3 linked regions of the Notamacropus eugenii genome follow. The protein of the gene in region 1 interacts with the protein of each later gene in a pairwise test. Links are inferred from orthologs where the notes say so. Each region holds a gene or a part of one and is shown in the gene's direction. Other genes may lie near its edges.

Region 1 (10,323 bases):
AAGTTTCCTAAACAGAATACTTTGTAATAACATTCCAGACATCAAACTCTATGAACTCTATTGAGTGCTTATTGTTGCAGTTCTGTAGTAGAAATTTAATAAATGATACGTACACATACACGGTATCCTAAGTACAAATGTGGGGTCCCTGAACAAAAATTCTTCAAATAGCCCTCAACCCTTGCTGTTGTGAAACAAAGACCTACATCAGTGAGTAACTTCTTCCAGTGCAGCTGCTGCTTGGGTAGTTATTATAACAGTTATCTACATGCTAATGAATAGCCTTAACTTTGGTGTAGAGCTTTCCACTGGTATTTAGCTCCACCTAATGGGGAAAGAAAAACCCAGAACTTGGTGAAAATGAATTTTGATAATCCAGCTTGTGTGTCTCCATATATAGAGACAGATACATACAGTTTTTTTTAAAACCTAGGCACATTTAAAGAAGAACAATGCACAAACTGCTGACTTAAAACAATGTTTCAGTTAGGGGAGAGCAAAGAATATAAGAATATTTATAAATATTTATAAAATAAAAAGTAACTCATAAAAAGGAAATAGTGGAAAGGGTTGAAAAACACAATCAAGGAGAAAAACTATGGGAAATTTAAGTTCAAGATCCTGACTAATACATACCAAATTGATCAATGCTTCGCAAATAGCCTATAAGGGTCCTACCATCTCGAAGGAGCACCAAGTGTTTCTCTGAAAAAGAGGATTTTTAAAAATGATGACCAATAGTTCCACAGTAGTGGTACAATAGCACATAAGTTGGGGAAAGTTCTTCGGACACCCTAAGCAAGCTCTAAAATGGGCCACTTCCTCACTTTTTCAAGGTTAAGTTCAACTAAGAAATCCAGTCAGGATGTAAGCATTATAAACTATCAATAGTATCAAAGCAAAATAATTTAGTAGGAAAAATGCCATATTGGCAGTCAGGGGATTTAGGATCTAGTTTTGGCTCTCCTACAAACTTACAGTGTCCTTACGAAAATCAATTAACTTCTCTGTGCCTCAAGCTTTTTTATTTATAAAAGAAGGGTGCTGAACTGAGTAACTCAAAAGTCCTTTCAATTCTAAAATGCTTTTCTATTCCTCACTCAAAATGCTTATTGTAACAATTCAGAACCTCTTTCTATAAAAATATGTCCTTCAAGAGCTATGAGGAAGGAGAAAGGTTTCAGCTAATCATTGATCATTAAAATTTTTCTTAATGGTTTTTTCTTACATTACCTTCACTTCCCATTATATAATCTCTGGTCTTTGTAAATATGTGACAGTAAAAGGGGAAAAGAGGCAGGTAGGTGGCTCAATGGATAGAACACTGGGCCTGGAGTCAGGAAGACCTGAGTTCAAAGCCCTCCTCTGACACTTAACAGCTATGTGACCCTGGGTGAGTCTATTTGCCTTAAAACACTGGAGAAAGAAATGGCAAATCACTCCAGTATCTTTGCCAGAAAATCCTATGGACAGTACTGTATGTACTATGTATGGTCCATGAGGTCATGAAGATTTGGATACGAATGAACAACAACAAAAAAGGGTGAAATTGGTATCTTAACATCATGGCTAAAGGTTGAATTTCACAATGATGGGGTTTCAGTTTCCTCATCTGTAAAATGAGGTGGTTTCACTACATGATTTCTAAATGTGCTTTCTACACATTTACATTATCATTCCAAAATGTGTATTTTTTTTTTTAAAATGGCCCTTGGGCAACATAAAATAGTGAACTTTAAGGTTGGTTAATGACATACCATCTGAAATACATAAACTCTGACAGCAGCTACGCCTGTTTAGAATTAAGTCTAATTACAGACAGGTAATGAGAACAACTCTGATTAAAAAGTGAAAGTGAAAGTGAAAGTAAAGCATAAGGAGAAATGACACTATAATTAGCCTGACTTAGAAAAACACTGTATTAAGCAAAAACAAGGACAAAAAAGAGAACTCAATAGTTAATGATGAAACCATTTTAAAACAACAGAAAAGGAAGGCTTAATTGTGAAGCAGGCATTAGAAGTGATTCAGGGTCTATAAAGCCTTTAAAAAGCAACAATGTAGGCATGTGGAAAAAAAAAAACTATCCTCCATTGTACCTGAAACCATTTATCAGTTTCAGAAAATTATGACATTTAACATTTTATTTTTATATATGAATTATATCCATGCTCTCATTTGATCTCATTCTAAGGTTGTTCAGTCAAATGAGTTCAAGTTTTATTAACCCTATGTGATAGATAAGGGAGAGCTGACTTTCAGTTCTTTCAGGTGATTTGCCTAAGGTCACATACATAACCAAGTACTGCTTCCAAATCCAGCGTCTTTTCTAGCACACCAAGCTATCTTAACTTTTTTTAAAGGTTTCCTGCACTTCTTTTGAAAAACTCATTAAGGATTAGCTATTATTAAACCCTACCAGAATTTTTTCAAGCAACTAGCCTCAAATGCAATGGAAGATGGTTTCCTTATTCCTACCCTCTGTTGTATGTTTTTAATGCAGTTTTCAAATTTTCTTCCTATTATCAAACCTAATTTCACTGGACTCTCTTCTCTGGGCCTAGTGTACTAACTCCATTTGGGGGTAGCTTACAATCTAAAGTGCCTATTTGCTCAATCCAATGGTTTTTCCTCAAGTTTACTACTTGACCTCTGTCACCATGGACCACAAGGTGGTCCTGGACACTCTCTCCTCCGCTAGTTTTCTTCTGGTCTCTGTGCTCTTGGTCTTCTTTGCTGGCTTTCCCTTTGTCGACCAAATGTGGACATCCTTCAGAGTTCTGCCCTTGACCATGTTCCTTCTATCTCAAAGCAAATATGTCCAAAACAGAACGATGTACACACATACACAGAATGTGTGTGTAGGTGTATATATGTATACATATATACACACAAAAGGGGGGCAGTGGGCAGCACTAGAAGCTGCAGGCAATCAAGAAAAGCTTCGTGGATGCACTTGAACAGAGCTGTGGAGGCTAGGGATTTTGAGGGAGTGCATTCTAGGCACAGGGAACAAGCAAAGAGGCAGGAAATGGACTGTAGCATATGAGAAAAGGTCAGTAGGTCAGTCTGGCTAGAACACGCTGCACATGATGGAGGTAACATTTATTAAGTCTGGAAAGAAAAGATGGAGCCAAATTGTGAAGAACTGAAAAGGCAGTCAGAAGCAATACTGAGCCACTGAAACTTCTTGAGCAGTGGACTAACAGAGTAAGATCTGTATTTTAGGAATATCAGTCTGGCAGCTATGTGGAGGATGGAGAGATCAGAGATAAAAGACTAATTAGATGGCTATAGTCTAGATGAAAGGTGATGTGAGCCTGAATCAGGGTGGTAATTGTGAGAGATGAGACAGAAGTAGAATTGATAAAGACTTGAAAATGAGGGAAAGTTAGGAGTTGAGGATGATTCAGTGGTTGAAAATTTAGGTCATGGGAAGGATAGTGGTGTCCTTGATAGAAATGGGAAGACAAGATAATGAGTTCAATTTTGGACATATTGAATTTGAGATGCCTAAGGGATATCCAGTTGGAAATGTCTAAGAGACAGCTGGTGATGCAGGATCGGAGCTCAAAAGAAAAACTAGGGATGTATATATAGATCTGTGAGACATCTGCATAGAGAACTGAATCCACTGAAAAGCTGATGAGAATACTAAAAGTCTATCTAGAGGGTCCAGGATATATTCTATCAGAGGGCAGGATATGGATGGTGATACAGCAAAACAGACAAAGTTGACAGGCAGGTAGGAGAACAAATAGAGAGCAGTGTCATGAAAACCAAAAGGAGGGAATGGTATGTCAAAAAGGATCAGGACTAGATTTGGCAATTAAGAGATCACTGGTATCTTTGTAGAGGACAGAATCGAAGGAGTAATGAGGTAGGAAGCTAAACTGCAAAGGGGTTAAAAAGTGAGGAAAAAAGGAGGCAAATAGCACAGACGGTTTTTTCCAGGAATTTGTCAGTGAAAGAGAAAATATGTATGTATAAAATAATAGTGTGAAGGGATTCTACCTCTATTTCTCTCATTTTACACAGCCACTACTTTGTGCAGACAGACTATCTGGATAGCCTAATTGGCCCAATTTGTTCTTTTTCCAATTATCCTCCAATATAGCTGCCAAATTGATATGCCAGAAGCATAGCTCTGAACATATTACACTCCACCCCTCAACAAAACATTTGAATGCCTCCCTAATGGCCTTTAGCATAAAATACAGACTCCTCAACTTGACATTTAAGGACCCCCATGATCTGGTTTTTAAGACATTTCCCGATACACTATTTTTTTTTCACGGACTCTATTCCATTCAAACTGGTCCTAAAGCTGTTTCTCTTACACAACATACTCCCTCCTGCCACTGTGCCTTTATATAAGAGATCACATAGTTCAAGTACCACCTCCTATTCCAGACCTTTCCTCCTCCTTCTCCCTCTTGAAATTGCTTTGCTGTCTCTAGGGTCTATTTGGGCTAAGATAAAATCTGGCACGTATACTTTATACTTAGGTGTATACACATCTCCTTGGTAGAATATGAACTCCAAAAGGGGTGTGTGTGTTTTTTTTATTTTGGTCTTCGTGTCCTCGGACCCTTGAACAGTGGCACTTAAATGTCTGCTGAATTGGGGTGGAGGGGTCGGGCAGGAAGATAACAAGTCTCTGCCACAGCTTCGAGAACGGTGGGCCTCACTTTCCTTGAACACTATCGGACGCCCTGTTTCAGGCACTTACTGCGTCCCCTCACTGTTGCACCCAATTTCTTGAGCTCTGGGACCACTCGCCTCCCCGCTGCCGGGCACGCACCTCGCTATTTCTTTTTATCAGCGAGGCCAACCTTTCCCCCGGACAGATCGTAATCCCATCCTCCAGGGGTTTAGTAAAGGGTCTTCCAGAGTTGCCATGGCCTAAAGACTTCCCCACCTGGGCCAAGCTTCTGGGGACAAAAGCCTCGCAAATCGCAGGCACTTAATGAATTTGTGGGGAGTACTCAGGTCGAAAAGCGGTGTCGGAGTCTCTGAATGACCTCCATTGCCTTCTTCAGACAAAAGGGCAAAAAAGAAACCCCGCGTGACTCCGGAACGCCTAACTCCCCCCCAGGCGATCTGCGGTCAGAGGGAGGCCTCGGCCGCTCGCGGACCGCAGCCCGAGGGCCGGGGCTACGGCCTGGAGACGCGTCCCGGCCTCGGCCCATGCCCTACCCGAGCCCGAGGGAGGAGGCGGACCGACGAGGGAAGGGGGACTGGCCCGGCGGCCACTCACTGTCAATGTCCTCGATGAGGCTGGCGGTACCGGGCATATAGTTCATCTTGAACCGGGAGGGGGAGGCTGGGCTGGGGCACGGTGGGGAGAGGAGGAGCGGAGCGGACCCGCCGCGTCCTACTTCTCCCTCCGCTTCAGCCTCCTCAGCGGGGCCGGTACCCGCAGGTCCACAGCCGCCAGCAGTCACTGAGGAGCTACCGGAAGTTCCCCCTACCCCGCCCACTTCCGGCATCACGTGGCTCCCATGCTCGGGGGCGGGTCGTACGGCGCAGGCCCCCGAGAAAGGAGAAGGGGGAGAGATGTGAGCGGGACCGCATTAGATAGTGGGGAACTCGTTTTTCCTCTTTAGGCTGAGGAAGAACGTGCGCCTTGCCCTTCTCAGTTCTCTAACTTCAATTCCTAAGGTTGGCCCGAACTAGCATAGACCCCCCCCCCCCCCTTCAGCCTCATTGGTCAGCGTGTGGACCATGAACGCTACTCCCGCGGAGGAGGAGCCAGGGCGGCGATTGGTTGCTTTGGCTCCGCCCCCTTTTCCCAGGCTTGTTCTTTGCCTTCAGCGGGCGCCTGCGCAGTGGGCTTGGGGTGGGGGGAGCGGGAAGTGCGGCGGCTTAGCGGAGCCAATGTCTACCCTGAGGAGATCAGGATATGGCCCCAGCGACGGCCCGGGCTACAGCCGCTACTACGGGGCTGGGCCCGGACCCGGACCCAGCATTGGAGACGTGCCCCCGCCTGGGCCTCCAGCCTCATCGCGGCCCGAGCCGCCTCCCCCTCCGCCTCCTGGCCCCTGGAGGATGCGCGGAGGCGGCCCGGCGGAGGCTGTGTGGCCCGGGGAAGGCAGCGGAGCCTGCGGAGCCTGCGGAGGTGGCGGGGGCTACTACCCCGGGGGAGCCGCCTGGCCAGACCCGTGCCGGGCCGGAGGCCACCAGGTAATCCCCGATCCGGCCAGCCCCTGGGGTCACTGGAGTCGTCCGTGCGCGGGGGGAGGGGGTTGATGTGGAGGGGGTCGCCGGGGGTGGTTGGTCCCTAGGGAGATGAGGCCCCGGGGGTCGCGTTGCAGAGGCCCGGGACGCCGGGGTGAGACCCTGTTGGAGGGCTTCTAACGGATCCCAGCTTCGTTAGTCTCCTATTTCTGGAGCATGGGAGGAGGGACAAGGTTTGTGGCCTGGGTGATGGTGTCTCACCGAGCAGCGATTGGGGGTAAAGCAAGCTGAAAAAGAAATCGTAAATCGTTTATTGCAGCCTTCCGCTCTGCACAAATGCCCAGGTTAACTGAGCTCGCCCAGGGGAGGCCTCCAAAGCCATTGGGAAGGGGGTCTGGAATGGACCCTAGGTTGCTCCCCCCCCCAGGCACAGGCCCTTTCCACCCTCTCCCCTCACCGCTCCCCCGAAGACGGTGACGACTGTGATGCCTTCACTCGGCGGCCCCTCCTGCACGTTGGGACCTTAGGTGCTGCGAGCCGGGTCGTTCCGGAGGCTATCAGCTTTTTTTCATTTTTACTCCCCACCTGCTCCTAAGCTCAGAGCGTGTCGTGATCTGCAAGTGCGTGTCTCTTCTGAGGGTCATCACTGCAGCATCTCTAGTCTCTTCCATTCGTCTGCCTGTCAGTCTGCTTCACCACCTCCGCGTTGGACGTTTCATTTAAGCCCTTCTGTCTCTTAGGTAGATAAAGGTCCTACATATTTGTTCGCTGCGTCTAGGAATAGTCTAACGTGGGGGGGAGGGGGGAGGGCGGGGTGGAAAAAGCTTTGATTGTTTAGAAGATTGATCTCTTACATCCCTGATCTCATCCATCGAGGTTGTGTGTGTGTATTCATTGGGGTTAGAGGATGGTCAGAGAACTTGGTCTTGACTTACTCTTTCAAGGTAGGATTTAGGAATTGGAAAATTATGTTCTTGGGAACTAGTTCAGTTTGATGGCTAGTGCTTTGCATGTAGGAGGTGGCCTATTAAATTCTTGTTAAATGATTGCTTAGGTTGTGAAAAAGTGGGAGATAAGGGGACATATTCGAATAATAGTAGGCCTGGAGGAACCATCCTTATTACACAGCATTTTGACTGATTGAGTCACCCATGAATTCTTCAGACTTGATGTGACCAGCAGGTGGAACCTCTATCTAGGCTTTGGATTTTATGTCTGTACTCCTTAGAGCTGGGCTACAATCAGTGTCACTTAAGGGAGGGTGGAGAATTCTACCATCTTTCACCAAGTCAACTCTTTTGTTTCTTTAATAGATAACTTTTTATTTCAACATGGCTATAATTTCATTGATTTGGGACTCCCCGTATTGGTACAAGTGGCATCACATATCCATGCTTTCTTATCCAGTGCAGTTCTTTTCCATTTAATTCCTGCTAGAGGATCCATCCAACTTGCTGGAAACCTTCAAGGTTTCCATTACATTTTTTGTATAGTAGCTGAATGGTAGGTAAAGCTGTAATTCTTTCATCTAGCCACATGACCGGTCCACTTCCTTTTCTCAGTATACATTTCTTCAGTAATATCCCTTATGCCACTTCTTGAACACAGTTTTCATCATTGAAAATATGCATGAATACAACCCAAGAAACTGACCTGTCCAAAAGATTAACAATTGGCACAAAACTTCTATATAGGTATTTGTTGTTGATAATCAAACAGGTTTGAGGACTAGAAGAAGAGATATTTAATTGACCATTGCTCCCAATGGGAGTGAACATTCTATTATGGATTTCTTTCCACATAGATTGGTTTTGTTTTTAAACTTACTGACTGAAACTGGCAGCAATGTAAAAATATTTAAAATATAATATTGTTGACTGAACATTAGAGGTAAAAATCAATAGATAAATGAAAAAGCATTTATTTTTTCCCAAATTTATGAATTTATTTGTCTTCAGTTTTCAACAATCACTTCCATAAGTTCCAGATTTTCTCCTCTCCCTCTCCAAGACAGCATGCAATTTTGTATGGGTTCTACACATAGATTCCTATTAAACACATTTTCACACTAGTCATGTTGCATAGAAGAGTTAAAACGAATGGGAGAAACCATGGGAGAAACAAAACAGAACAAAACGTAACAAAGTCTGCTTCATTCGACATTCCTACTCCATTATTCTTTCTCTGGACATTTTGCATTTTGGATGGCATTTTGCATCATGAGTGCGTTGGAAATGTTTTAGGTCCTTGAATTGCTGTGAAGGGCTAAGTCTATCAAAAACAAAAACAGTCCTTGCACTCTGTGGCTGTTACTGTGTATAATATTATCCTGGTTCTGCTCATTTCACTCAGCATCAGTTCATATTAGTCTTTCCAGGTTTTTCTGAAGTCTGCCTGTTCATCATTTCTTAAAGCACAATAATATTCTATTACATTCATATACCACAACTTGTTCAGCCATTCCCCAATTGATGGGCATTTCCTCCATTTCCAGTTTTTGGGCACCACAAAAAGAACTGCTATAAATATTTTTGTAAATATGGGTCTTTTCCCCATTTTTATGTTCTCTTTGGGATACAGACCTAGTAGTGGTATTGCTGGATCAAACAAAGGGTATGCACATTTCACAGCTCTTTGGGCATAATTCCAAATTCCTCTCTAGAGTGGTTGGATCAGCTCACAGCTCCACCAACAATGAATTAGTGTTCCAACTCTCTCACATTTTCTCCAGAATTTGTCATTTTCCTGTTTTGTCATGTTAGCCAATCTGAGTGGTGTGATTTGGTACCTCAGAGTTGCTTTGATTTGTATCTCTCTAATCAATAGTGATTTAGAGTATTGAAAAAGCACTTAATAAATGCCAATTATATACCAGATAATCACCTATGAGATACTGAGGATATAAAGACAAAAATGAAACTGTTCTTGTCCTCACTGTGCTTATTGTGTTCTAGGAGAAACTAGGGGCACATACACGTGTGTGTGTGTGTAGAAAATATATATGAAGTAAATTCAGTGTAGCTGCAGAGGGATAGGAGAGGAGGTACTAGCAGTGGGAGAGCAGGAAAGAAGATGGAGGATGCAGGCTATGGTTTTTGAACTGGGCTTCTAAGAGGGAAAAAGAAGTAGAGAGTGCGTTCCAGGTGTGGGAGGTTGCTTGTTCCAAGGCAAAGAAGCAGAAAGAAATGTGTCACTTGTGAGGAACAATAAGGAAAAGCTAGTTTAGCTGGACTCAAGAAGGTTCAAAGGTGAGTAATATGTTGTAACTCTGGAAAGGCAGTCAGGGGAACCAACATTTTATTAGCGCCAGTTAAACTTCTTGAGCATTTGGGTAAGGGGGGGAGACCTGGGCTTTAGGAATATCATTCTAGCAACTACCTGGAAGATGGCAGGATATTAGTTAGGAAGCTCTTACAGTAGTGCAGGTGAGAGAGGTGACAAGGCTTGAACTAGTGTGATGGCCTCATAGAGAGAAAGGGGCAGATAGTGCCTAGACTATTGATTAAACCTAGCAATTGATTTCATATGTCTAGTGAGGGTGAATGAAAAGTTAAGCATAACAACATGGTTGGGAACCTGGGTGATTAGGATGGTGGTACACTTGATTGGAATAGTTGTGGAAGAAAAGATATTAATAGTGTACTCTGTTTTAGGCACAGATCTGCAACAGTCAGTTTTTATTAATTTAACATTCAAAATCTCATCTAGTACAGAGAGACAAGGGTCCAAACTGACATAATCCTTTCATGATGTTGGACTTTCTCCCTCCAAGACAATTTGAGGTAACATTTATAGGAATCTCAGACTAGGGTCACAACATATTAAAATACAGTTTTGGGGCCAGCATTCCAGAATAATATTCAGTCTACTTGAACTACTGCATTTCTTCTTTGACCTCCCCTCTCTAGGACTAATTTTTTTCCTTTCCTACTCCTTCCATTTCCTGGCTTTTTCTTGATAACACAGCCTTTCTGATCACCCTTTCAAGAAGTGGTTACATTTACACTCATATCCCAAATCACCACTTGAGGTGAGGGAATTGAAATGCTCTTTGCTTCCCGTTGCCACTTATTTCCATGTTTTCCCTCTGTTACCATCACTCTCCTCCTTTGAGGTTCACTCAATTAATTTCTACCACCCAAA
Region 2 (9,775 bases), on another chromosome or scaffold:
GTCACCTACCTTGTGCCAGATGTGGAATTTGAACACAGGTCATCTGACTTTCCACCTGCCCAGTGTCACACAGCTAGTGTTAAAAGCAGGTAACTTGACCCCAAGTCCTCCTGACTCTTCTTGACAAAAGTAAAAGATGAGAAACCAAGGTGAATCCTAAATGGGCCCAATGCTTCCCCTGTCTCCTCTGCTCCACCACCTGAATCTCATAGATGGGAGACCTGCCAGATCATTTACCCCAACTACAGACTCAAAGTTCTGCTCAACTGTTTTCTCCTGCAGGGCTTTTGTAAGACATCAAAGCAATTGTACCAGATACTGCGGAGCAAGGAGACCATCCATGTAGAACTTTCTCTTCTGGCTCCAGTTTTAGGGAGTAGGCCCTAGAGGCTGTCACTTGGAAACCAGCAAAGAGAAGCACAACCCCACCAAAGTTCATGTTGGCTTCTTCTCTTTTCCCCATTTACCCACTAGGCCTGCAATTGGGAATGCTCTTTCCCTAAGGCGTTAAATGAAAGACCTCCAGGGCTTTTTGGGATAGTTCTCATGTCTCTTAACTGAAAGTTAATGACTAAGCATGTGATGGACTTTGCTGTTGTGTTAAAGAGTATTTTTACTGTCTGTTTCTTAAGAGAAAAAGCATGTTATACTGGAAAGAGTGCGGAATTTGAAGTCCAGTGTCACCTCAGACAACTCACCAGTTGTGTGACCTTTGGCAAGTTCTTCTGAACCTTAGTTTCTTCACCTGTAAAATAGAAGTCATAATAGCACTTCTGGCACAGGATCAAATGAGATGAGCAGACCCTGAAGGGCTATTGGAATGAGAACTGTTGTCATCCATTATTTCTTGATTTGTAGTAGCGGTAAATGAAAATGCAGAAATTGTTTGTGGGCTCCTCCTTTGCTGAAATCATTATGAAGTCCGTGAATTTTGTGGTTGATTGTCGTGGTTTGTCCAGGGTTACAATGACATACTTTGTCAGCAAAGACAAATATTTTAACTGTATCGTTGCTGATACTTATTCCCTTGACTTTTTTCATGCCTGATGACTATTCCTAAGATTTCTAAAATGATGTTAAAAAGGAGTGGGGACAATAGATTACCCTGCTTCACCCCTGCTGTTAACGGAGATACTTCTTGTGGTTTTCTCTAGTATGTAACATCCTTCCTTGAAGTTGTTCACAGTGGCAGACTGGTATGGGAGCTCTCTCTGGAATGGAGCCTGCCCCAATGTCTTTAAGACTGACCACATTCTGTAGCTGCCCATTTGTAAACAGGTCAGTGGCACTGCTTTGTAGGGAGAAATATCCTGCTTCCTTCCTAGGTAGTTGCCTTCCTCTTCTTTGTCATTTTTCCCAGTGTGGGACATGTGGAGGTCAGGGCAAAGAAGGGGAGCCTGGGTCTTCCTTTGGAGACTTTTCCAGAACCCACCTGATTCTTCCCTCCCCTACCCCAAGCATTAAGAAGTTGATAGAAAGGTCCAGACAGAAAGATATGCAACCTTAGAATCAGGAACTATGGACAGGGAATTGAGACAAGCCCCAACCAAGATTCATGTCTAGATTTTTCAGAGGGAGAGGTAATTGATGGCCAGCCTGTGAGTCCCAATGAGTGCCTGAGGAAATTCCACCTCCTCCTCCCCCCCTCCCCCCACCTGTACCGAACTTAGGTGAGGACTTGGATGAGAGTTGTGCCAGATGGGCTGGCTGTGACTTACATCACTGGAGGGAATAACTACATTGTTGAGAACACAACTCCTTTGGAGTTGTGGAGAAAGACCTTCATGTTAGAGATTCAATTTGAGGGTCCAGATATCCTGGAGCATTGCTGCTTCAGAGGTTGGTAGAGGGGCAGGAACAGAGAAAGGCCCCTTGCAAAGTGGCACCATCTTGGTAGCCTGCCCCCGATAGAGTACATGACTGGCTTTCATGGGAGGAACTTGCTGTCAGATGCAGTTGGGTTGGGAGAGGGATGTCATGGTGGCAAAACTCTGGAGGATCTGTCTTGTACAAAGGAAATAGGCCTCTCAGACATCAGCACCCTAGGACATGCTCATATTGCCCACCTTTGTTACAGCTCTGGTAATTAACACTAACGTCTCAGGTCTTAGTTCAAAATGACTTCCTAATGTTCTCAATGTCACAAGGAAAAATGTAGCAGGTATACCTGCTTCATTTTTTTTGCCTTCATATCCACAGACCCTGGCACAGGAGTAGGAGGAGACACTTCATAAAAGCCACGAGGGTTGGCTTGAATTATGGCCTCTAATGGCAGTGACTCAGTTAGCTTAGTTGCTAACTAGGTCTGAATTTAAGCTTGCTTTCTCCGTGGAACATTTATTTTTACTATGCCAGTGACCACTAGGACACCCCAGAGTTTATGTAGCCATTTTCATAGATCTTGTGCTTGCCAGGGACACTAGTAAGCAAGCAAACATTTATTAAGTGCCTACTGTGTGCCTTATAAGTAGAAAGTGAGACAAACCTGTGGGCCCTCTTCATGGTAGGTTAGTATTTAGGTCTGTCCAGAACTGTAACCAGGACAGGGCAACTGGGACTTTTGCCAAGGGTAGCAAATTTAGCAGGTGCTGACAGCACTTCTAGTCATTTGGTAGCCCAGGAATGACATAGTTTAGTGCCTAGTTAGCAAGAATAACGTGCTAAAATCCTACCTAAGATTGGGGTGAACTTCTCCATGAAAGGATATTTTTTCATTGATCAAAATACTGTATTTTGAAGGCTCAGTTGGCAGGGACTTCAGCAGCCAACTAGTCAGGCCGTTCCTAAAAGGGATCCCTGTTTTAACATGTCTCACCAGATTTATTTTCGTTCTTTCACAATAAATTAAATGTGAAATAAGGAGGAAAAAATGTTTGGGGCCTTAAAATCTTCAGTTTATATCTCCTGGTTCAGTATGAACAGTACAGTACAGTACAAATCATCCTTCTAAAACCAGAGCTAGCGTGCTGTTGCCCCCTGTCTTCCCCCCCCCCATTGCAGCAGCATCAACCCCAGTCCAGGGCAAAGAGCGTCCAAGTGTCATTGGTGGGGTGGCTGTCAGACACCAGGTCCAAGGAGATGTCTGCTGCTGCTTCTTCCTCTGACTTCTCTTCAGGATGGGGCCTATAGGAGGTGAAGGAAGAGAGCAGTGAGAGTTGTGCTCAGTAACAATAGCTGCCCTTTGCCTAATGAGATCAAGGCTGGAGTCCTCAGCCTTTTCTCAGGTTTCTGGCCACAGGAAGCTAGCCAACCTGGATGACTCAGTATCCCCAAAGCAGCCTTCTGAAATGTTCTTCTACCGTTCTTCCAGTCTAGGGTGTAGAATGAGGGCATGTTTGTGGTTTGTGTTAACTGTCTGTGGGACACTGTGACCAACTGGTTCAGTTCCATGCCTCAGTTTCCTTTTCTGTAAGAAAAGGACTAAATCAAGGGTTTTTCACGTTTTTGCATTATGGGTGTAGTAAACCTTATGGACCCCCTTCTCAGAAGAATGTTTTTGACATAATTGAGGGAAATACCAAGTTTCAATTAGCGGACAGTGAAAATGAAAATGTCATTTCCCACCATCTCAGTTCCTGGACCCTTGATTAAGAACCCTTGAACTAAATCATCCTTTGGGGAGTGAAAAGAACACTGGCTTCGGGGTCACACAACCTGCCTCTATTGCTTGCTTCTTTTGTGTGCCTCAACTTCCTCATCCTGTCAAATTGTTGGAAGAAAGTGAGTAGGTGTGGTTCTTAGCCTGGAATCAGGATGTCTGAGTTTGAATTCTGCCCCATATACTTACCAGCTGTGTGACCCTGGGCAAGTCACTTCACTTATGTTTGCCTCAGTTTCCCCATCTGTAAACTGGAGATAATGACAGCACCCATGTCACACAGTCATTTTGAAGATTAAACGAGCTCACATTTGTAAGTGCTTTGCACCTTCAAATGTTGTAAAAATGCTGGCAGTTGTTATTATCTCAAAGAACTGTGCATTTCAAGGTAGAAAGGACCTACCTTCAGGGTCTTTCACTCCAGCCCCTTCATCCTGCAGATGAGGAAACTGAGGCCCAGAGAGATTAAGAGAGTTGTAGATTACTCAGTTAATTACTCAGCACCTGGGATGTGAACTGAGGTCCTGTGTCTAAATGAAATGGTGTTTCTCTCTCTCTCTCTCGCTCTCTCTCTGTCTCTCTCTCTCTCTCGCGCTCTCTCTCTCTCTCTCTCCCTCTCTCCCTCTCTCCCTCTCTCCCTCGCTCTCTCTCGCTCTCTCTCGCTCTCTCTCGCTCTCGCTCTGAAAAATGAAGGGTTCCCAGCAGATGCCAGATGCCAAGTATGGATCCCTGTCACAGATCAACGTGGTGAACCAAAAGCCAGTGTCTCTCACCTAGGGACTTCTTGCCTTGTCTGGGAGAGACAGAGACAGCGAGAGAAAAGAGTAGTAGAGGCACCTGCAGGCGTTTCACCTGTCCCAGTCTCCGTTCCTTTATCTGTCAAATGAGGCCAATAATAGCCCCCCTTTTCCCACGGAGGGTTTCCCACCCCGAGGGTGTAAATGTCAGCTTGTTATTCATCCTGGGGTCGCGGCGTCGGGGAGGGGAGGCGAGGCGGGGCTTTCTGCCCAGCCTGGACCCGGGGTGAACGGGGGGATGGTGGGTCACCCCGAGCCGCACCCCATCGCCGGCCTTCCCAGCGCACGTGGGCCGCCCCCGCGGCACGTGGGGCTCGGTCGTAGCCTCTGCGGGCGCAGCCTCCGCGGGGCCCTTCAGGTGAAAGTGCCCCGCAATTGGGGGCAGCCGCCTCCCCCTGCGGCCCACGAGGGGCGGGCCGAGCGGCTCTCCGGGGGATCCCCAGGCGGGGAGGGCAGCTCCTGAGTGCCCCTGGCTCCAGGCCCTGGAGGGCGAGGGGAAGGCCCCCGGCTGGCACCCCGCTCCTCGCCCCCCCCTGCCGGTGCCCCCTGGCGCCGCGGCGGCCCCGCGGCCCCGCCCGCGCCCGGCCCCGCCCCCGGCCGGCGCGCCGCGGCTCCTCCCTCCTCCCAGTTCTCAAGTCTCCCAGTCCGGTGGGGCCCCTGCTCGAGGTGCGCGCTTGGGTGCCTCTCCCCCGAGGCCCCCGCCCCCGCCCCCCCACCCCCCGCCGCCTCCCCGCCTCCCCCCGCCGCCCCCCGCCGCCATGCAGAAGGGCTGGAAGAAGCCCCCGGCCCCCAAGCCGCAGCCCGAGGTGAGGATGGACGACTACCTGAGCAGCCTGGGGCTCCACCGCAAGCTCATGCCCAAGGATGCCTCCTGCCTGTTCCGGGCCATCTCGGAGCAGGTACGCCGAGGCCTGGGCCCCCGTGGGGAGGTACAGTGAGCGCCCATCGTGAGGTGGGGGGTGGCACGGTGAGCCCCAATCGTGGGGTGGGGGGCGCAGTGGGCCCCCGTCGTGGGGTGGGGGGGGGGTCTAGTGAGCTTCCCTGCGGCTGCCCACCCCGGGGCCCCATGGTGGGGGGGGTGGCACGGTGAGCCCCCCGAGGCAGCCTGCCCCGACCCCCCCACTCCTCCCCGCGTCCGCATGGTTAGCCATGGGGTGCTGACCACGGGGCGTCAGCCACGGGGAGCCCGACTTCGAAGGTGATCTCCTCTCCTTCAGCTGTTTTGTAGCCAGGTCCACCATTTGGAAGTCAGGAGGGCTTGCGTGGCCTTCATGAGAGAAAACCAACATAGCTTTGAATCTGTAAGTGGGACAGACTGGAGGGGAGGTGTGGGGGACACTGCCCTGGGGTGGGGTCTGCCGAAAGTCCTGCTGCTTTCCTTCAAGCCGCCCCTCCACGTGGCTCGACTTTCCAAGGCTTTATGCGGATCTCGGGGCTAGCCCTAGTTCTCCGCGGTTAAAAATCATGGTTCCCCAGCCAAATCCACCCTCTGCCTTCAGCTCAAATTAGGAAGCCAAAGCAAAGATCCCCACAGTTAGCCATCTAGACTGATGGTGAGGTTGTGGCTTGAGGTGAGAAAGGCCGTGAAAGACAGGAATGGGAAGTACCTTGTTAGCTGGCCGGTGGTGGGGCAGCGCTCAGGACCCACTTTCTTGAGCCAACTGAGGTTTTCATGGCTCTTAGGAACATCTGTATGAAGATAACTCAATGCTTACTTGTAAGGATGCACAATTAGTTTCAAACATCTGGCCTTGTACATAATAAACCAGTGGAACTGGCCCCACTCCCCTAACGTATTGACTAGGAAAAAACCCCAAGCAAGCCAAGTCCTAAGTCAGCCCACTTCTGATCTATATCCTGATAGAAGGGCGTTTGGTGATGGCTCTATTTCAATGGCTTTACCCGTCTATTTCACACCCCACATGGCTTCTATAGATTAGCAGAAAAATCCTTTGCAAAGGGGCCCTGCCAATGTTTGTTGGCTGTTGAAAATTCTGAGCACATTCAGCAGGGCTTGTATCCATCATGCCTCCTTCAGGCAGAGGTAAAAGGTGAAGCAGACAGCCCTTCTGTGCATGGGATACAATACAACACTGTGCAGATTTTACAGTTGTGAGGAACCTCCAAAAAGAGATGCAAGGAGGGGCCAAATCTTAGCCCAAGCCCTTACTTATCTTTTAATGACACAGCCAAAAAGATCTTCAACAGCCCCAAAACAGAGACCTGCCTAGGTTTGGTCATTAAGGATCCATACCTCTTCCCTGGTTCCTTAAAACAGGGAGGTGGCCAGACTCTTGAAACTTTCTCAGTCAGATTGGTTTGAATGTAAAGCCAACTGGGACATTTTACAGAGTTCCATCTTGCCCAAACCAAACAACACTGCTGAAGCTAATGAAAACCCAAACCATTAGTGTAACTACCCAGACCTTCTGGTTAGAAAGGGCAGTTCATACATTTTCAAGGTTCAGCCGGGGTCCACCACTCATTAGCTGTGTTGTGTGACTTTGGGCAAGTCACTCTGTAGGCCTCAGTTTCTTCACCTGTAAAACAAGAAGTGGGGGAATGAGAGGAGCTCCCAGGTCTCTTCTAGCTCTCTCAAACCTGGTCCTATGGCACAAGTCAGACTAAAAGTCTTCCTTGTACGGTCTGATTTTGTTGGAAACTTCACACCCTAAAGTTGTCCCTTAACCTCATTAATGAGGCCAAGCATCCTGTAGGTTTTCCAGCTCTAGTGGAGGTTCCTTGAAATGTGCTGATTGGCCATCATTTGAGAAATTGGCATTTTGGAGGCTACCAATAAAAAAGGCAGGCCTTTGGAGAATTGTGAAGTGGCTTCCATCTAAGCAACTGAGGCAGCTAGCCCTTAAGCTTCTTAGGACTTGTTGCTGCTGACTTCCCTCCCCCTCTCCCCCACCTCCTTAACTTTTTTCTTAGTACTCCAGGAGGTGCTGTGCCAAGTGTAATCACCTTATTAGCTTCAGGATTGTGGGGCTGAGCAAAGTGAATACATGCTAGGAGTTTAAATGCAGAAAGCATTAACTCTTGCTTAGGGTTTGCATGGTGTGATACTCAGTCCTAGTAATGAGTGCCATGGAGCTGCTTACAGTCAAGTTTGTTTTATTTTCCAAGTACGTGGAAGGATCTTTTGAAAAGTACCTGGAGAGGTTGGGAGATCCCAAGGTAAGCCCAAATGTAGTTCTCTCAGCTTTGCTATTCAGGGGCCCTTGAAGGGTTGGAGAGTGGGCAAGGAGGGTAAGGCAGCATTTGGGAGGATGTTGCCAGAGCCCACGCATTGCAGCTCTGGCCCTTTAAGGAAATATGTAGAGGCTTTTAAAAAAAAAAAAACAAACAGCTGTTGGAATCAAATGTATTTCTTGGAAAAATTTTAAGAAGTTGACAGCTGACCTAATTCAATTGTCCAGTTTTGAGAATTTATTAATATAAAAGTCACTAAATCCCTTAGTGTATGGAATTCAGAATAGCTTTTTTAAAAAAACATCTATTTTGAATATATCCAACTTGAACTGATAATTGAAAAGAGGGGTTTCGGCCCTTTGTCATAACTTCCTCATAACTGGAAAATGTTAATGGCCAGAGGACTTACCCCTTCCCCTTTCTGGGTCTCTGGAAAACGGAAGATTGGATTACTAAATGGGTAACTTCTAAGGCTTCTCTCTCCTCTAAAATCTTGGATCCTAGGACCCAGCTCCAGACTTGGAGCCCTAAACTGGGCTTTATAGTACATTCTCAATGAGCAAAATGGGGATGGAGGGCTACATCAAGGAACTCACAGTAGTTGACTGGGGGGCTTTTAGCTCCAAAGTGCTCAGAAAGAAAACCAAACAAAGGCTGTATATACTGTTTCTCCCTAGGAAAGTGCTGGCCAGCTGGAGTTAAGAGCCCTTTCTCTCATTTACAAGTAAGTTTCTGCATCCTCTCCTTTCTGATTTCTAGAACATGGGACCCAGGGCACTCCAGTTACCTTGAAGTGACCTCTGGAGTCTCCTCATGGATTATAGTTGTCATTTAAAGGTGGTGGGATAGACTTGGCTTCTCATGTTAACCCTTTAGGACAGGGAAATGCATCTTTTTCGGGGAGCCAGAAGGTTCTAGGGCTATCTTAGTGCCTGACCCTCTAACACTTGTATCCTTGTGATGGTTTTTTTTTTAACCACAGAATGTACATTTTCCAGTCTATTGGGTCATGGGTCTTTTTTGGCCTGGGACAAGAGGGGTGTAGGATGTCTCTTGTTGAAGGGCATGCCAGTCTCACGATTTATAGTTCTTATGCATTGGTCAAGACAGGTCCAGTTACAGCCCCCTCCTCTGGCCTGGTGCCCAGACTCATGCTTTGGGCTCCTCCCTTCTTCTCCCAAGCTCCTGGCATCGCCTGGGAGGGGGGAGTGAGATCCTGGCTTGGCTGCTTCACCCATATAAGCCAGCACATATTTGGACAGCATTCACTGGGGACCTTGCACTGTGCTAGGCCTCTACCCTTCTAGACCTCACCCACCTTGTTTGGGGTGGGGGTGGGGAGAGAGAGAGAGACCCATCCTCCTTAGCTGTGTGACCTTGGGTAAGTCACTCTGCCTCTGTGGGCCTCAGTTTCTTTATTAAAATAGGGAGGAGGGCTGGAAAATATCTATGGTCTCTTTTAGCTCTAAATCCTGTGATAAAAGAATCTGGCTTATTTAGAAGATAATATTTTTCTCCAAAAGGCTCCAAGACTCCTTTGTGGAGCACACTCCCCCCCACCCCGTTCCCAGGACTTTTTTTAATTACTGCTTTTTCCCTTTGGAGGTGGTCTTTGCCAATCATCACATTCATTTTAGCCAGACTGTAACTATATGAAGGTGTGTTGGGCCAGAGATAGTCACACAGTGTGATTGACCTGAGTTCTTACACCTGCCTTGGGTCTGGGATGGCTGGTGTTCTTTAGATGAAAGCCTGCCTAGCTCACAGAAATGCCAACCCCAAGCCTAGAAGAACTTTGACCTTGGGGAAGTGAGATGACTTTCGTGAATGTCCCACCAAGGCAAGCTCCCTGCTGTCAGAGGGGAGAGACTTGGGGCTTTTAAAGGAATCTTGCCAGGATCTATCATCAGGTTTTGGGAGCAGATGGGCAAGGGTGTACTGGGGGGAGGGTGTCCCCTTTGAGTCTGTGATTAAGCTTTGGTGGGACAGTATGGTGCAGTGGGAATTGTGCTGCCTTTGGCGTCTGTCTTGGCTTGATCATTTAGTCCCTATGTGGCCTTGGTTTGCTTCTCTGTGGGATAAGGTGGTTGGACTAGGTGATGTTGAAGGGCCCTTCTGGGGGTAAATCTCAAACAGCTCCCACACCCTGGCCAAATCCTTTGACCTGTGTGAGTTTTGATTGCTT
Region 3 (9,820 bases), about 570 Mb from region 1:
GACCAGTGGCTAATCTGTCACCTGCCAAGGCTAAATCGACTTCTTGTTTCAGCGATCCTGCAAAGGGAGAAGAAATCACCACACCAATTTAATGACTATTATAATTTTGAACTAATACCTCTTTAAGAGGTGAGTGAGGGGAAATGCAAAGTTTGATCTGCTCAGTGTACAATCTCCTCATGCCATGCACCATGGTGGGCTGGGGAGGAGATGGGCACGGAGATTTTGATTTCCATTAACTGACCAAAGCTTGTCTGATAGAAGAAAAGGCAGAGATGATTCTTGCTGCCTCTTGAATGGTGGGTAACAGTAATGGCTGCTCATTCCAGTTTCTGGCCTCTCACTCCTAGACGCCTCTAAATCAAAATCCCAGAAATCCAGATTCCAACAAATGTCACCAAGTAGTGAGACCTGGGACAATATCTGCTTGAGTTCCTGGTCTCCATAGCAGCACTATTCAGGTAAGGAGCCCATGTAACTAGGATTCCACAGGCATATGAATTCTTTTTGTCTTTGAGATGATGTCTGATAGTAGTATTGCTGGATCAAAGAGTATGTACAGTTTAGTGTCTTTTTAGGCATATTTTCAAATATTTAGCTGCCATTTCTTATCTATCTCTCTGCTGTGAGTCTGTACTGGCACTTTACTTTTGCCACTTCCATGAGATGGATACCTTTAAAAACTTCCTCGAACTATCTATCCTCCAGTCAGGATGCTTGTTGGGGAATGCTGTCATGATGTGGACTCTCAGCCTTTTAGTAAATGGAATGCAAGAATATTTTCTAAAGTGAAATTTTCATCTCTAGGCATTATAGGACCATGAATTCCATGAACACACCTTTTTATATTTGTGAGAGAAGGTAAGGTTTCTGTGTGTAGTTAAAAATGGAGCACTTTATGTGAAAAGGACTGTGGCACTGTGTGAGAGAGGAGAAGGTGGGTATTCAGGTTTTGGAGATGATGGGTCATTATGGTGATATGAGAGGATGGACCACTTGTTTATGAACAGGCTACAGATTGTTTTATTTGAGAAAGTATAATTACAGCACAACTGGAGAACTGGGTTTAAATATCCTACCTCTGATATTGACACCTGGATCATTCCCCCTATGAAGAAGCAGACTTTTAATGAAATAACTGGTCAGCTAGGGAATGTAATTTTGTGCCTTGGACACCAGCTATTGCTATCTTTGGATCAAATGGCTATGACAGGCCAGTTGACCATGCATAAGCTTTTCCAAAGGTTGCAGGATCCCGCTGTTCAATAGAAGTTGATAGCTTGTAAACTCTTCAACTACTCCCCCAACCCACTCACCATTCCTAGCTATTTCCCACTTGTGGGCAGAGCACCTGGCTCTAGTGTATGACCAGGAATGTGCTGAACAATGACTAAAATAGGAAAGTCTCAGCTACTATGGTACTTGAACACTCATTAGGGAAACCTCCCATTTCATTCATAGGACTTAGACTATTTTTGAAGGCTGTTTCCAAACAGCAATACTATAAAGAAACCACTTTGATCAGTTCTTATCCTTCTACTGACCATGATAGCTTCCCAGAGCACAGGAAGGAAACAGGACTAGGGGAAGGAAGGTTGGGAATTCACAGAAATTTCCTCGGGAAACATTGGAAGAAAATAGTTTGGAAACGTAGGTTTTTGAACATCCTTCTGCTGGTCACATCAAAACAAGTCCGCTGGCAACTGAGTTTATTACAATCTCACTCTAGTGAGACCAATCAATCAACATGTAATTATTAAGCACCTACTGCATGTACCAGGTACTATATTATGTGCTAGACATACAAGTGCAAAGCAAGAAACTCACTATGTGCGAGCACACTTGCCTGCAAAACTAGCCCTGACTGCTCCCCAACTTCTTGCAAAGTTTCATCTCACAAAAGAACTCCTACCTGGATGGTTCTTAGAAACCCCCATACCTGTCTATGGGGATCGGGAGTGGGGCATTGTGTTTGTGATGGGACAGGAGTTCTATGTCTGTATGGCCAGGTATTATGTGAAGGAATCAGGAGTTCTGTGTGTCTGTGAGCGAGAATAGCTTGTGGTCAGTGTGTGAGGGGCTCATGAGTACTTTGTTTATGTGCATGAAATGTCTGGACCCTGTATCTGATGTGTGAGTGAGTAGGACGGGAACTGCAGGCATGTATGAAGGGAATATCATTGACTGTGTGTGTGAATAGGGACAGGCTTTGGATGAATGTTAGAGAGGCCATGGGTGGGGCACTGTTTTGGAGGGGTTGGTGCACTGGCATTTAAAAAGCCTTGTAAAGTACATAATACAAACATCCTTATTACCATTTTACAGATGAGGAAAATGAGAGTTAACAAAAGTAATTAAGTAACTCCCTCTGGTCTGACGTGTCAGAGGCAGAGTTGGGACCCGTATCTTTTTGACTCAAAGGCTATCATTTCTTCTACTACCATAGATTCAGAACAGGAAGGGCCCTCAGAAGTCATTCCCCTCCCTCCTAGTTTTATACTGGAGGAAACTAAAGCCCAGAGAATTTAAATAATTCACCCAAGGTCACACAGGTAGTAAGCATTTGAGGTCGGATTTTAATTCAATTCCTCTGATTCCGGAACGAGGACTTTTTCCTTTACTCCATACTAGCTCATGAAATTAGAAAGTGTGACTATCAATACCACTGGGAGACAATCCTATGTAGTCAAAGAATGGGAGGTAAAACTGAAAGGGTAGATTGAGGCTAGCCTATTGAGAGCCTTGAATGCTGAGATAAGCAGTTTGAGATATGTCTTTTGTAAGCAATAGGGAGCCCTTGAAGTTTCTCAAGTAGAGGATAAGAACTACTCTGCAACTTCCAAAACTGGTTGAGCATTGGCTAAATAGGATCTCTTTCAGCTTCAGCTCCTGATCTCAAGGTAACTAAAATGAGGATTGGCTGGGTGCACCCTGTACCGAGAGGGATTGATTGGAGGATCACTGTGAGAAATGGAACTGTGTCTAGCATTCCCCCTATGGCTTTTCTCTTCAAGACTCATGACACCTCTGCCTCCAACCGACCCTCCAGAGCTGAGAAGACTTTTCTTCCTACTTTACTGAGTAAAGGCTATCCACTGTGAGTTCTTTCTAATGGACTCAAAACTCCTTTTCTTTATCCCCAAACTCTAGTACTTTATTTCAGTCTCCCTGAACCAGGCTGAAAATGCAGGGACTGCTGTTTTCAGCTCTGATGGGTTCATCTGTCCTTAAACAACCACATGGCTCCTGGCTCCAAGTAGACTTACCGTATTAATGCCAAACTTAATGTAGACAACTGATGGATTTAATCCACTCCTGAGCTCAAGAGATCCACCAGTCTTGGCTTCTGTGGTAGCTGGGATTACAGGTTGTACCACCAGCCCTTGCACTAATGATTTTTTAATTGCTAAGTCTATTGGTTTTTTCTCAGTTGTCATCCCTCTTGACTTCCTGTTTCTGACATTGTTGGCTAGTTCCTCTTCCTGATAGGCTCTTCTCTCTCTTCTTTCACAACACTGCTCTTCCCTGGTTTTACTTCTCTGATTGCTCCCTTCCTAGTCTCTTTTACTTGATTGTAGAAATATAGGCTGAAGAGGATTTGAATTCAGGTCTTCTGACTCCAGTGCATTTATCCACTAGTCCATGCTGCCTTTCTGGTGGATGCTGGATCAGTATGTGCCTCCTGCCTCCTAACCATGGCTGTGCCAGAAGTCATAGACTTAGACCTCTTCCCTTTCTCTATTCTTTATCTTGGTGATCTCATCAGCACCCTTGGGATCAATTCTTAGATTTATTCAAATGATTTCCACTATATATCCAGCCTAAATCTTTTCTCAACTCTAGTCCCACATGACCTATTTCTTGCTGAGCATCTCCATCTGGATGTCTTTTCTTGATCTTAAAATTACCATGTTTAAAACTGAACCCATTTCCTACATTCCTCTAATATCTCCTCCCTCACACCACTCTTGGGGGTGCTTCCATTCTTACCATCCCAGGTTGACATCTCTGAAGTATGCTTGATTCTTCTCTTGGTTTTGTAGCTAATCAGTTGATATATATTGCTACTTCTACCTCTATAAGATGTGTCCTATCTGTCCTCTTCAAATTCATGGCCATTACACTCATTTGGGCCCTTGTCACTTTGATGAGTAGAACAGTCTCTTAAATGTCTCTCAGTCTTAACAGTCTCTCTCTTCTCCAACCCTTACTCTAGGTAGCTGCCAAAATTATTTCTGTAATATATAGATTTCACCAATGTGCTTTCCCTGCCCCAGAATTTTCAGTGACTTCTTGTTGTCTTTTATGGTAAAATACAAACTCAGCTTGGCATCTAAAACTTTTCCCAGGATGGCTTCAGCCTACCTTCCCAGACTTGTGTCGTGTTACTCCATTTCAGATGCTCTCTGCTTCAGCTAAATTGGCCCTTTTGCTGTTCTCCCAAGTCATACCCCTTCTTCCTTGCCTGGAAAACACTTCCTTCTTGAATTGACTTAGAATTCTCATCTTCTTTCAAGCCTCCGCTCCAGCAATACCTTCTAGAAGGCCTTTCTTGTTCCAGCTAGTTTTAGAATTCTTTTTTTTAAATGTCAGTTTCTTATCTGCTTATCTCTTGCATCCGTTACAAGAGTATGCATACTTGCTGAGGGCAGGGACTCTTTTTTTATCTGTTTTTGTGACCCTACCACCAGGTTTAGTGTCTTGCATGTGACAATTAATAAATGCCTTTTCAATGTTGAATCAAAGAGGTACAAAGTGTTAGGAGAGGCTACAAGGTATCTAAATGACAGCGAATGTTGCAATGGATACATCTAGCTAGCTGTTTGACTTTGGGTAAATCACTTAACCTCAGTTTCCTTAACTAAAATAGTAGCAATAACTCCAAGGGTTGTTGAGGATCAAATGGGATCATATTTTTAAAAAGGCTTAGCCCAGTAGTGGGCTAAAGTCTCTATATATTTGTCAATTCCCTTCCCTACTATAAAGCACTCTGATGGGAAAGGGGTACTTGTAGGCTTGTGAGTGGGATGGGACAGTTTTCATGTGAAAGACAACGCTTATACACAGTTGGTGCTTCTTCTCCGTGCTTTTGCTTTCTCGTCATCTTCAGTAAGTATTTAATAAATGTTCACCCACTGACTTGAGAGGATGGGTCAACGAGTTTTCGGGGGAAGGCAGAGCACCAATTGTGTGTGATAGGGCTGTGGTTACTGCGTGTCTGTGAGTTACTAAGCCGAGCCTTAGGCTTCTTTCTCACTGATGGGTCCGTCTGCTTCGCTTGCTGGCGTTCTCACGCGCTCTGGTGGGGGCGGGGTTGACAGCCGGGAGCTGGGGGTCCCTCGCGTACGGCGGCCGGACACCAGCGCGGGGCGGGCAGCCTGGCACCGGCAGAGATGCTCACTCAGGTGGGGGTTTCGGCCCCCGGGCGCAGGTCCAGATTTGGGCCGCCCAGGGGGGCGTGGCCTCCGATCTCAGCCTCCCGGCCCCGGGCCTTTGGGCGGTGTCATTCACGGCGGGGGCGTGGTCTCTGCGGGCAGTTGGGCTGGGCGACGTGGGGGGCCTCAAGGTAGTGGGTGTGGCCGCTGGGTGTGGCCGTTCCAAGAGGGGGCGTGGCCTCCTGCGCGGGAGGGGGCCGGCGAGCCTTCCAGGACGGGGGCGGGGTCCAGTCTCCGAGCGGGCAGGCGGGCGCGTGGGTGGGCGGGAGGGGGTGGGGGGCCCGGTGGGCTTGGCGAAGGCTGTGGGGGTAGGGGAGGTGGGGGGAGATCCGGAGGGGGCGGGGGCGGGTCCGACCAGCGCATGCGCGCTGCATTGTTTTGACTGAAAATGCCGTCGGTTTCGAAAGCGGCGGCGGCGGCGGCGGCGCTGAGCGGATCCCCCCCCCAGACGGAGAAACCGACTCATTACAGGTCAGTGTCCCGTGCCGCCCCCTACCGCCCGGGGTTGTCGCCGTCGTAGCCGCAGCCGCCTCCACCACGGCAGGCGGGAAGCGGCCTCGCGCGCCCCCGCCGCTGAGCGCTTCGGCCCGCGCGCCCGCGTTCCCCCACCCTCCTCTCCCCAGCTCCCGGTCCTCCTCGCGTCTCGGCCTCGCGGGCGCGGGGCTGCACGACTCTGAGCCCGAGGCGGCGGCGCGGCGCGGGGCGGGGCGGCTGGAGCGCTCCCGCGGCCTCCGAGCACCCGCCGCCGCCTCCGTCCTCCCCGCCCGCCCCTCCCCCCGCCCGCGGAGCCGCCTCCCAGCCCGCCCCTCCCCCAGGCCTCTCAGCCCGCTGGACGCCTGAGCCTCCGGGCCGAGCCGGGCCGCCCACTCCCCGCCGGATACGCTGAACTTCCTGCTTAGTGGCCCTTACGCGGCCTCCCGGCCTTTCCCCTGCCCACCTGGGCCCGTGCGGTCCAGCTCGTCTCCTTCCCGCGCCCTGGGGCTCCGAGGTCTTCCCTCCCACCCTGCCTGCCCGCTTTCCTTTTCGTGGGTGCCATCCTATTTCCCTGTCCCCTTCCTCCGGGAGCCCCAGATGCCAGGGCTAAAGTGCCAACCTTTGCCTTCACCCACACCCCTCACACACCCCCTCTTTCCTTCTTCATTTAAAAAGTGCTGAAACAACCTTGGTGTTACGCAAAATTTCGCTAAATCTGCCTTCGGGATAGTTTAGGAGCTGACTTGGTGGCTGAATTAAGTACATTCTGAAAGACTCGGGTGTGGATAGATGGGAGGGGGTGTGCTTCCCCCCAACCCTCTTCATTGAATGCAGACCTATGCTGGGGAGTCCCTTTTCCCCTCCATCCATTGCTGTGTAATTGAAGATAGATGGCTCATAGGTCTGTTTTACATAGAGATTCCCTTTCTAAGTTTGGCGGTGGTCATTAAAAAAAAACAACCCATTAACCAATTAACATTAAGTTGTTTGGCCCTAATAAAGTTACATTGTTACACACACAGTTTTTACACTGACAAAGAGAACTTACCGAGCAAACACTGCATCAAATGTATAGTACTTCCCTCCAGCTGAAACGACTTGTAATACCATTTATCTTTTTAGGTATCTAAAGGAATTTAGGACAGAACAGTGCCCCCTGTTTTTGCAGCACAAGTGTACACAACACAGACCATTTACCTGTTTTCATTGGCATTTCCTAAATCAGCGTCGCCGTAGACCCATCCGAAGGCGTGATGGAACTTTTAATTATAGTCCTGATGTATATTGTACAAAATATGATGAGACTACAGGAATTTGTCCGGATGGTGATGAGTAAGTGTATAACTTTCTTTTTGTACTTTTAGTAAGTTATGGTGATTATCAAAGTGATTTTAATAATAGTTTGCATCTTACCTGGACGAAGACAGTTCTTAGTCATCACCTTGGAAGGTGAAGAAAGAAGCTTTAAAGATTTTATTTTAACTAAAATGAATGACATACCAGAAAGTATTTACCTAGTGTACAAAAGATTCTGCATTTTTAAGGTTTTAAAAGTACACCGAGAATTCCCTTCTTTGTCACTCTGTTATTACTCATATTGCTTATGCAGTTGATAATAGGTTGGCGTATGTTGCAATTTAAAAGAATTGTTTCCTCTCCCTGTCAGTAGTAATGAAATTAAAACTATCTTTTCAAAAGTGTTATGAAGTGATCCTTTTGTGAGTAGTAAAGTACTAGTTGACATGAATTTTAAAAATAGAAAACAAAACTGAAAACTGCTCACCCACAAAAAGTTTACTGCAAAAAATAACTGAATTGGAGTGGAAGTGACCATTAATGCCATTGACTTTCAGAGAATGAATTGAAAACAAATGATCTTATGAAAAAAAATAACTTGTATTTAACCAAGTCATAGTTCTTCTGTATTGTTTTGACAATAAGTACTCTTGGTATGCTTTCTGAAACGTGCAACCTGTGAAGGGGAAATATACTATACTCCCTTGCTTCTGCAAGGAAGGGGACTGATAACCCAAAAAAAATCGTGAGCTACTGTTGTTAGTGTAGTAAGGATAAACCCTATGTGTTACTATTTTAAAAAAAATTTTAATCATTTCTTCTGTGACCCTTTATTGAAAATAATAATATCATTTGTAAAAGATGCATTTGATATTTCAGCTTTTCTGAATTTGTTCTTGAGATTTTATGCCTGAATATGTAGTTAACTTTTGTAAAAGAGGCATGCACAGCTGAGAAATCCTTTCTATTTCCTTTCAGTAATATCTGGAGGTCTGTCATAATCTAATTTTTCTAAAATTCTATTCTGGTCCTTCAGTTCCTTTTTGTTTATTTTTTGGTTAAATTTATCTACATCTGAGAGGGGTAAGGAGGTATTCTGCAATGATAGTTTTCCTGTCTATTTCTCCCTGTAACTCATTTAACTTTTCCCTTAACTATTTAATACTGTTCCATTTGGTGCTTATGTTTAGTACTGATATTCATTGTCTATGGAATGTTTCAGCAAAATGTAGTTTCCCTTTTATTTTTTTTAATTACGTCTTTTTATTTTTTAAACTGTTGCTTTGTCAGAGATCATAGTTAAAATATCCCTCCTTTTTTTTTAATGGTAGGTGAAGCATAATCTATTTTGCTTCAGCCCTTTATTTTAACTCTGAATTTTTCTGTTTCAAGTTTGTTTCTTGTAAATAACATGTTGTTGGATTTTGCTTTCTAATCCGTTTTCTTTTTCTCTTTCATGGGTAAATTCATCCCATTCAGTGTTATGATTTTTAATTTTGTTTTTCACTTCATTCTATTCTCTTATACTTTTCCTTCTCTTTGGTTCCTGTTCTCTTTTTATGAAGAAGAAGAGAGTGATGAGCGACAAGGAGTAAGCTCTACATCCGTGCTCTAGTTTTGGTGTAATATGCTTCTGTTTCTCTGCTCCTCTTTCTTTTACTTGTAGTCTAATAACAGGTTCTTGTCTTTTTTCCCCCATTCTTTTAAGCCCCTCTTTGAAATCCACTCTTCTATTTTGTTTTTCTTATGATTAAATTCTGTCCCTTTATCTTTTCTCTTATTTTCCCTTTTATTTTCTCTTTTCCTTCTCCCTTTTCCTTCCTATTTTTCCTCTTGAGTGAAATTTTTTTCTTTACTCAGTTTTCTTTCTTTGACCAATTCAGATGAGACTGAGGTTTGTGTCTCCTGCTCCCCTTCACCTTGTTTGTGTGAACTTCTGTTTGCACACCTCAATTATGTGAGGTAATTTCCCATATTATTCCTGTCTCTTCTATCCTCTCCACCAATGTATTCCTCTTCCTTAGCCTTCCCATGCTTTTAAGATCATCGGAATAGAACAGAACCATTCCTAGGCTCTCTAATCAGGTGCTCTCTGTGACCTCTGATGATGATAGGATTTTCAGGGGACATGAATATCTTTTCCTTATATTAGGATACAAAGTTTATTCTTATTTAGTCCCTTATTGGTAGTCACCTACCATTATGTTTATTTTTTGTTGTTGTTTCTCTTGATTCCTCTGTTTACACTTCAAAATTACTATGTAACCCTGATCTTTTAGGAATACTTAAAAGTCCTCTCTTTGAAGGTCTATTTTTTTTCCATTAGAATTATGCTCAGTTTTGCTGGATAAGTTATTCTTGGTTGTAAGCCTGTATATCTTTTCTCCTCTGGAATATCATATTTCAAGTTCTCTACTCTTTTATAGTGGTCACTGTGGAGTTTTCATGTGATCCTGACTGTGGCTCTTTTGTACTTGAATTCTTTCTTGCTGTTTGCAGTATTTTTTTCTTTGACTTGGAACCTCTGGATTTTAACTATAATTTTCCTGGGGGCTTTTATTTTCTGTTTTCTTTTAGAAGGTAATTAGTAGATGCTTTTACTTTCTATTGTGTCT

Evidence for each region.
Region 2: the proteins of BAG4 (region 1) and UDP-N-acetylglucosamine transferase subunit ALG13-like interact in binary tests that used the Homo sapiens proteins (3 or more experiments, as listed by UniProt). The link is inferred for Notamacropus eugenii from reciprocal best matches to the Homo sapiens genes BAG4 and ALG13.
Region 3: the proteins of BAG4 (region 1) and UNKL interact in binary tests that used the Homo sapiens proteins (3 or more experiments, as listed by UniProt). The link is inferred for Notamacropus eugenii from reciprocal best matches to the Homo sapiens genes BAG4 and UNKL.

What each region holds. Positions count from the first base shown.
Region 1 is NC_092872.1:622,806,881-622,817,203, reverse strand, and holds the start of BAG4 (BAG family molecular chaperone regulator 4), read left to right. Parts: upstream 1-5,822; 5' UTR 5,823-5,880; coding exon 5,881-6,186; intron 6,187-10,323. Other genes in the region: U6 snRNA-associated Sm-like protein LSm1, read right to left, coding at 637-705, 5,261-5,492. UniProt on the Homo sapiens protein: Inhibits the chaperone activity of HSP70/HSC70 by promoting substrate release. Prevents constitutive TNFRSF1A signaling. Negative regulator of PRKN translocation to damaged mitochondria.
Region 2 is NC_092879.1:97,562,016-97,571,790, reverse strand, and holds the start of UDP-N-acetylglucosamine transferase subunit ALG13-like, read left to right. Parts: upstream 1-5,130; 5' UTR 5,131-5,153; coding exon 5,154-5,294; intron 5,295-5,612; coding exon 5,613-5,696; intron 5,697-7,524; coding exon 7,525-7,575; intron 7,576-8,267; coding exon 8,268-8,314; intron 8,315-9,775. UniProt on the Homo sapiens protein: Catalytic subunit of the UDP-N-acetylglucosamine transferase complex that operates in the biosynthetic pathway of dolichol-linked oligosaccharides, the glycan precursors employed in protein asparagine (N)-glycosylation.
Region 3 is NC_092872.1:49,431,249-49,441,068, forward strand, and holds the start of UNKL (putative E3 ubiquitin-protein ligase UNKL), read left to right. Parts: upstream 1-5,794; 5' UTR 5,795-5,823; coding exon 5,824-5,906; intron 5,907-7,031; coding exon 7,032-7,241; intron 7,242-9,820. UniProt on the Homo sapiens protein: May participate in a protein complex showing an E3 ligase activity regulated by RAC1. Ubiquitination is directed towards itself and possibly other substrates, such as SMARCD2/BAF60b. Intrinsic E3 ligase activity has not been proven.